Linked DNA regions of Macaca mulatta. The protein of the gene in region 1 interacts with the protein of each later gene in a pairwise test. Links are inferred from orthologs where the notes say so. Each region holds a gene or a part of one and is shown in the gene's direction. Other genes may lie near its edges. The genes, in order: DNAJB11 and UBR1.

Region 1 (3,817 bases):
TGAAGAACGAACGCTGGAAGTAGAAATAGAGCCTGGGGTGAGAGACGGCATGGAGTACCCCTTTATTGGAGAAGGTAAAATATTGATATTTGATTTTTTTATTGTCATAACTTTCTGCTCTCTGCTTGTTTGTGAATACCTCTCATCCCTGCCTTGCTCCATCTTAATGTTCACATAGTAAATGCATATATAATTTCCAATACCCTTCAGCCAATTTTAGGATATACAAAACTTTTTGTTTACCTGAAGCAGTAGCATTACCGTTTATCCTTTGAATGTCATGGCCAAAAGTTATTATGAGGTAACCTAAGTTTCCTCAAAATTTAGGGTGTTCAGACCTTAATGAATTTTAACTCAGCAATGAAAGAAGATATGTAACTCTAGTTGGCATTAATAAGATGTTCTCAGGACCTCACCTTTAGACTTAAGTTTAAAACTCTAAAAATAAAAAAAAAAAAGCTTTGAGACTTAGGTTCAATAGACTAGTGAATCATTCTTGGTTTAGGAAATGGGTCAAGTTATGTACTGCTGTATCTGAGGCAAAGGTAATGATTTCTAATAATCTGAAACTTGATAGAACCAGGCAGAGACACAGCCGCCACAGATTTGACAGATCAATGCCCAAAGTAGTGGATTAAAAAGAATTATCAGTTGCCAAATAGATGTGTGGTATTCAACTCGTATGATTTACAATATGCTGTAATCTGCTCTGACTAGGTGAGCCTCATGTGGATGGGGAGCCTGGAGATTTACGGTTCCGAATCAAAGTTGTCAAGTAAGTTATCTAATTTTAGAGGTCTTCTCAGATGAGTCAGATTATAGAGGTGTGGGTGGCCACCAGAGCAGTTAGAGACTTTTTTCTCTGTTTCTTACCCTTATTACCCTAAACGATGATTTGTAACTCCTCTACAAGGCTGAAAGCTTGGGGTTGGGCCCTAGGATTGAGCCCCAGTTATTTATTTACTTAGGACTTACAAATGCAAAAGATGTTGAAAGGAAAGAATTGATAAGTAAGGAGTTATAAAAGAGAAACAAACAAGATAGGGAGTCAAAGCTGAGATTTTAGCTGAAGAACTATGGCACCATACAAGAATAGGAGACTTTGCCATAGAAAGAACTTTCTACGTAATATGCAGCTTCTGTGAAGAGAGAGCTTTTCTTTTGTGAGCTTCTCTTCAGCATGAAGTGCTGCTTAGACAATTTTGCCTGGGACTCCGGCTTTCTTGATTAGTATTTCTCTCTTGTTACCGCTTTGGAAACCAGTAATATCTCTGCATCTATAAGGAGTCATCAAAACAGAGTTCCCACCAGAATAGGGAGAAATGGCCGCCCACTGTCTGGGACTTTTCCTTCCTGCACTCTTTATTCTCAGTGTTGTTTTCCCCAGCTTCTTTGCCTACCTTGTCTTTATCATCACTTCTTAGAGAAACTGGAACGTGTGTTGTTTCCTGAATAAACCTGACACCTTCCTTGTCTTTGCCAGAATTCCTTCTCACTCTATTTCCCCTTCCTTCCACCCATTTTATCTGCATTTCTACAGCCAACTTAGTCTTGTGAGCCCAGCTCAGGAAACTTCTGTAGACCCATTTCTGAAGATGATCTCCCCAGAAACTTTCTTTCTCTCTTTTCCATAATCTAATGATTATAGTTTTACTTATACTCTGGCTTTTGCTGATTGTGTGTTCCTTAACAGTAGCATTTAATAAGACTTAAACAACTTTATATTCTCGATTAATACTACACACAAACGTATGTCTAAGAAATGTTTATGGTTTGAAAGAGTGGTGTTCACCTTTTTCCAAGATTTTTCTAACAACTCTTTGAACTTAAAGTGGAAATTAATGATGTTTACCTATTCTGTTTTTAGGCACCCAATATTTGAAAGGAGAGGAGATGATTTGTACACAAATGTGACAATCTCATTAGTTGAGTCGCTGGTTGGCTTTGAGATGGATATTACTCACTTGGATGGTCACAAGGTAAACAAACCAATTTACTTGTTCTCCTTCCTTTTGAAGCCTTTATGTGGGTAGTTTTGAGATGTATCAGCTGTTTCAGTCATTGAGAACCAGAGGGACTCCTTTCTCAGTCGTATTCTTCGTCTGTACTTACTCTGCTGCTGAGCATCCTGCAATAACAGTGCCAGACCTTTCAGCTACTCAGAATGGATTGCACAGCCTTTGACAGTCTTGTCCTTATAGTTTCTATTGATGAAAACCTTTCTTTGTTTACTTGTTTTTGTGTTTGATTTTCTTCTTTAATAAAATCCTTTGTTCTTGACTGACATTGTCCTAATGATATTTCCTTTGCTCCTTCATTCTTTCTTTTTGCTGAGCTGTGACATTAGCTTTGTGTACCAGTGCTCACTAGAAGCTGTATGATGTACTTCAGATGTACCGCTCCTGCTGCAGTGCATTCCCTTTTGTTTCCTAGGTACATATTTCCCGGGATAAGATCACCAGGCCAGGAGCGAAGCTATGGAAGAAAGGGGAAGGGCTCCCCAACTTTGACAACAATAATATCAAGGGCTCTTTGATAATCACTTTTGATGTGGATTTTCCAAAAGAACAGTTAACAGAGGAAGCAAGAGAAGGTATGGCATATGAGTGTGTGTGTGTGTGTGTGTGTGTGTGTGTGTGTGTGTGTGTGTGTGTGATGAGAAAAGGGTGGCAATAGAAGCAGAACTCTCCAGTGACATGAGACATCAAGACATCAATCATTAATGCTAGTAGAACACTAACATAGGAATGAACTCATCTTACTTTGTAAAGGTGATATGTTAAAAATCCTACATCTTTGTGTTACAAAAGTCTGTGTAAGCTGTGCTTCGAAACCTAGGGAGTGATAGAGTATGTGGGAATGAAACAGAATCCCTTAAAACAAATGAGCTGGACCACTCTGTAAAAGGGAAGATGAGGTAGACAATAGAAAGATTAGAAGCTTATGGTTGCATGTCTAGGATGACTGGCTGAGAAGAGGGCCCCACTCGGGGTCCTAAATAGTAAGAGAAAGGAGAGCAATGAAGGAGGTAAAAACTGAAAAGAGGATACAGAAGAAGGAATGGGAGACTTAACTGAAGAGTTTTCTTTCCCTTTTGATTGCCTCTTCTCATTCCTCATTTTGCAGAGCTTTGTGGGACATGTATGTGGTATGTGGGCCTAAAAGAGACAAGGGATCATCCTGGAAACATATGTGCATGTGTGGGATTACCTACATGCGATTATGTTGGAGATTGGTAGTTATTTAATTCACATCCATGTTTGTCATAAGGCCTTTTATGAGCCTTTTCTTGAAATATGCTCTTTAAACACTAGGAAAGTAACATTTTTTTGTTAATGGAGTCATTTGTTCATTCATTCTTCAGGTATCAAACAGCTACTGAAACAAGGGTCAGTGCAGAAGGTATACAATGGACTGCAAGGATATTAACAGTGAATAAAATTGGACTTTGTTTAAAATAAGTGAATCGGCGATATTTATTATCTACAGGGTTTTTTTGTGTGTGTTTTTGTTTTTATTTTCAATATGCAAGTTTGGCTTAATTTTTTTTGTCTAATGATCATCATGAAATGAATAAGAGGGCTTAAGAATTTGTCCATTTGCATTCAGAAAAGAATGACCAGCAAAAGGTTTACTAATACCTCTCCCTTTGGGGATTTAATGTCTGGTGCTGCCGCCTGAGTTTCAAGAATTAAAGCTGCAAGAGGACTCCAGGAGCAAAAGAAACACACATAGAGGGTTGGAGTTGTTAGCAATTTCATTCAAAATGCCAACTGGAGAAGTCTGTTTTTAAATACATTTTGTTGTTATTTTTTTC
Region 2 (4,490 bases), on another chromosome or scaffold:
AAGATGTTAATAAGTGGCTGTTTTTATTTTTCTTTTCTTTTCTTTTTTTTTGAGATTGAGTTTTGCTCTTGTAGCCCAGGCTGGAGAGCTGGAGAGCAGTGGCACCATCTTGGCTTACTGCAAACTCCACTTTCCAGGTTCAAGCAATTTTCCAGCCTCAGCCTCCTGAGTAGCTGGGATTACAGACACCCACCACCACACCCAGCTAATTTTTGTATTTTTAGTAGACATGGGGTTTCACTGTGTTGTCCAGGCTGGTCTCGAACTCCTGACCTCAGGTGATCCACTCACCTTGGCCTCCCAAAGTGCTGGGAGATTACAGGCGTGAGCCACCGCCCCAGACCTATTTCTGAACTTTCTAGTCTATTTCATTTATCTAGGAATGAAAGAAGAAGAAAAGAGAGTGGGGTAGCACAAGAGAACTCCAGGAGTAAAGGCATAGAGACAGGAAGGAACAAGGTAACTTTTTGGGCAATTTTTATCAAAATGTGGGACAATATCTATTGTGGATTATAATATCACTTTAACAACTACAACCAGTATTTTGGCTTAAATGCATAAACATATTGCAGTTGAATAGAAAATATGACATATCGCAAGCATGGTTTCAGGAAACTTTAGTTTCAGCGTATATATACATATTCTATATATACCCATATACTTTTGTATAGGTACAGTGATAAGATGTAAAATGTATTTATTGTGGTTGTTGGGCAAAAAAGGCTGGAAAAACAGTACTTTAGCACCCAGACGGTAGTTCATTTGAGCAGAAACATTGTTTAGGCAGGAAAGTTCTACTAATCAAGGTGGACCACAGCATTTGGAAAGCCTCCTCTGCTTTTCACATTGTTTGGAGCTTTATTTTCTTCCCTTTGTTAAAAATATACACTTTAAAATTATTTGTTTTGTAAACAATTTAAAATACTGATGAAGGTAAAGTAGCTCTTGACCACCTTCTTCCTCCAATCCGAATCCTGGCCCTCAGAGTTACCACTTTGCCCTTTCCCCTTTCAGACTTATTCCTTCAGATTTAAATGCCCATGTGTGCAAATACATAGTTTGCGGCAACTTGGCTTTTTTCCCTCTCACTTAATTTATGTTGATCTTTTCACGCAGATTTATCTTGCTCAAGAGCTGCACAGTATTTCAAAATGCGAATGTACCATAGTCTATCTTGTCTTTCATCTATCGATGAATGACTAGGTTTCCAAATTATTCCCCCCCCGTGCTCCCCAATAAAGCTGGATCCCCAGCTTTTTTGTACACATGTGCAAGTGCCCACGGGGTAGAACCCTAAAAATGGAAGATGTGTGAGTACTTTCTTTTTCATTTTATAGGCTCTGGGGAACTACTGCAGGGAGGCTGGGATACAAAACACCCTCAGGCCAACAACCGGCCAGCTAGGACAGGTTCTTGCTTTAGCCCCTGACGAGTTTTCTTCCTTTCGTAATGGACGCTAACTTTGGCTTTTTTTTTTTTGTTTTTAACCTCGTAGATGCAAGTTCCCAGCACCAAATCCAGATATACAACCACTCAGCTACCAAGCGCTACGCCTAATACATTACAGGGGAAAAAAAAAAATTCTCCAGTCCCTTCACGTCGTGACGCTTGCTTCCGGGAAGCGGGCCGGAAGCCGCTCCTCAGTTCTGCGTCAAACCCGACTTCAGGGGCCGTCGTAAAAGTGTCGTCCCTGTGTCTCCGACCGGCCACAGGTTTCCGCTTGCCTCTGGCCGGGGGTCGGCAACTGCAGGAGTCAGTTTCCCTCAAGATGGCGGACGAGGAAGCTGGAGGTGCGGAGAGGATGGAAATCAGCGCGGAGTTACCCCAGACCCCTCAGCGTCTGGCATGTGTAAGTCCCTATAGGCAAGTCTCTTTTGTCCTCCCCCCAGTCCCTCCCTGCTGCGCTTAGGAGGATGTGGGGCTTCACCCCTTATGGCGGCTCTGGGGAGGGGGAGTTACCTGGATTGATCTGGAAGGAAGCCACTGAATAAAAAGTTAGTCGCGACCCACATTTCTGCCAGCCAAGTGTACGGAATATAATGACTTTGTTATGTATTATTTCTGATGATCTCAAGCATGCATGTCTCTATTCTGAAGTAGAAAGAACCAGTGATGTTATTAGACGGTTTGATGTGGGGGCCTAGGCGGGGTTGGAGCAAGAGCCATTTTCGTATAGAAGCAGTACCAACCCTTTACTCTTGATGATGGGAATGCAGCACCTGGTATTGTATTGCATAGCCTGCTGGCCGGGACCTGATAATGATAGAGAGTGCTGCCACTGTCATGTCTAGATGTGAGGTGTAGTAATTGGCCTTCGATATAGCATCTTAAGAACCCCAGGCCTAACCCTCAGTGGAGAAGCCCATCATCTGTCGCTACTTTTTAAAGCTGAAGAAAGAACTCCCAAACATTTCAAGCCCGAGCAATACCATTAATTAATGTTGGAATCTATACTTTGCTCTTGCATTTTGGAAGAATGGGAAGGCAGAGATATTGAACAAATTTGAGTCACTAGCTACAGGGAGAAAGCTGACGGTGGAAGATAAGAGTAGAGGGCAATGTTAGGGAATGTTCTGGATGCCCAGGGTATCTAGTGGGGAGATATGTAGAAAATATTCAAGTATCTGTCGCTGCATAATGTTTTATTAGTTTTGTGTTTCCAAATAGCAGCATTTAGAGGTTTGGGATATACACCATTTTTTCTGAAGTTTCTTTGGTTTGTAGTTTAATAAAAGCTTTATTTTGTTTTATTTTATTTATTTTATTTTTTGAGACAGAGTCTCACTCTGTCGTTCACGCTGGAGTGCAGTGGCACAATCTCGGCTCGCTGCAGCCTCTGCCTCCCTGCAGCCTCTGCCTCCCAGGTTCAGGAATTCTCCTGCCTCAGCCTCCTGAGTAGCTGGGATTACAGGCGCCTGCCACCATGCCTGGCTAATTTTTTTTTTTTTTTTTTTTTTGGTGTTTTTAGTAGAGACAGGGTTTCACCATATTGGCCAGGCTGACCTCAGGTGGTCCACCTGCCCCGGCCTCCCAGAGTGCTGGGATTACAGATTAAAAGCATTCTTGAAGGTTTTTTTGTTTGTTTGTTTTTTAACCCTGCATACAATTGAACATTGTTTTATGCAAAAACAGAGGGAGCTACTTCAGGGACTGAAGAGACTGGCTAGGAGGTAGGAACCAGGTAGGGAGGGAGTTGGAAAAGGGTTTGGCTTCTGACTATGTCAGTGCTTGCTGTTTTCCTCCACCCCAAATAGCAGTTCAAATTCACTTCACTACTGGTAGTGAAGGAGAAAGCATCTTATTTGTGATGATAAGGAATGAGGAGGTAGGACAAATATAAAAGCAGCTGAAACATTTTAATGGTAGTTTGTGAGTTTTGCTTGTTAGAAGGAGTGGGGAAACTGTGCTGTGGTCAGAAGGATTGTTAGAATTTTGTATCTGAAGACTAATATTTATTTAAAACTTTGATACATTAATTTTTTCCAAATGATACAGTAAAACCCCATCATTCTGGCCGCCACTAATTTGGAATTGGAGATGATACAGGAATTGAGCTAGAATTTATGTGGCAACTCTTTACCTCAGGAAATATTATTAGATTTTGTTGGGCAGGACTTTAGGTTTTGCAAAGTAGTAGGTAGATTGTGTAATATAGCCTCAGGGAACTCACAGTCTGGTGACACAGGTAATATAAGTGCCCAGATAATTTTAATTCAAGGTAGAGTAATGTCAGTAGATGAGGACCTGTGACTGTTAAGCTTTATAACCCCTTTTATGGCTTGCATCTCTCTCTCTACTGAAGACCCTACAGATCATTCTACCTCTCTCTCTTTCTCTTTTTCTCTTTTTAAAAATACTACTGTTTTCAATTTTATTCTAGCCATAGTGTGACACTGGCTTCCCAGTTTACTACTTTGCTCTTAAGCAATACAAGCTCAGTTGTTCCCCCCTACTCCTTATTGTTTATCTTTAGACAAAGATAAATAGTACGGGACATTCATAGAGGTTTAAGCAATTGTACAATTTCCATTAGAGTCTAATCCCTGGTTATAGTCTCTGATTTCCTTAAATTTTCTTCTTAGTCTGCAGATCCTTTTTCATTCATGTTGCTGATAGTAAGCATGAAGGCTGTAGTATTCCTAACATTATCTCACATGCAATTCAAATAAAATAATATGTATGAATTAGTGGACATTGATAAAAGCCATTGCTTAAGAATCACCAGGGGAACTAATACTGTAGGTCTGAGGTGAGGTCCAAGAATCTGCATTTTCACAAGCATGCCATGCTAATTCTGTAATAGTGGTGTATGGGCCACACTTTGAGTAATACTTAGCTAGGTATTTGGAAGTTATCAGTAAATTTACAGTTGAGGTTGTGGGAATGGATAACATCTTTTTTTTTTTTTGAGATAGGGTCTTGCTTTGTCACCCAGGCTGGAGTGCAGTGGCACAAACATAACTCACTGCAGCCTCAATCTCTCGGGCTCA

Evidence for each region.
Region 2: the proteins of DNAJB11 (region 1) and UBR1 interact in a two-hybrid assay, tested with the Homo sapiens proteins (2 studies listed by BioGRID and IntAct). The link is inferred for Macaca mulatta from reciprocal best matches to the Homo sapiens genes DNAJB11 and UBR1.

What each region holds. Positions count from the first base shown.
Region 1 is NC_133407.1:98,756,740-98,760,556, forward strand, and holds the end of DNAJB11 (dnaJ homolog subfamily B member 11), read left to right. Parts: coding exon 1-74; intron 75-717; coding exon 718-775; intron 776-1,867; coding exon 1,868-1,979; intron 1,980-2,433; coding exon 2,434-2,593; intron 2,594-3,364; coding exon 3,365-3,429; 3' UTR 3,430-3,458; downstream 3,459-3,817. UniProt on the Homo sapiens protein: As a co-chaperone for HSPA5 it is required for proper folding, trafficking or degradation of proteins.
Region 2 is NC_133412.1:20,504,869-20,509,358, reverse strand, and holds the start of UBR1 (E3 ubiquitin-protein ligase UBR1), read left to right. Parts: upstream 1-1,677; 5' UTR 1,678-1,768; coding exon 1,769-1,849; intron 1,850-4,490. UniProt on the Homo sapiens protein: E3 ubiquitin-protein ligase which is a component of the N-end rule pathway. Recognizes and binds proteins bearing specific N-terminal residues that are destabilizing according to the N-end rule, leading to their ubiquitination and subsequent degradation.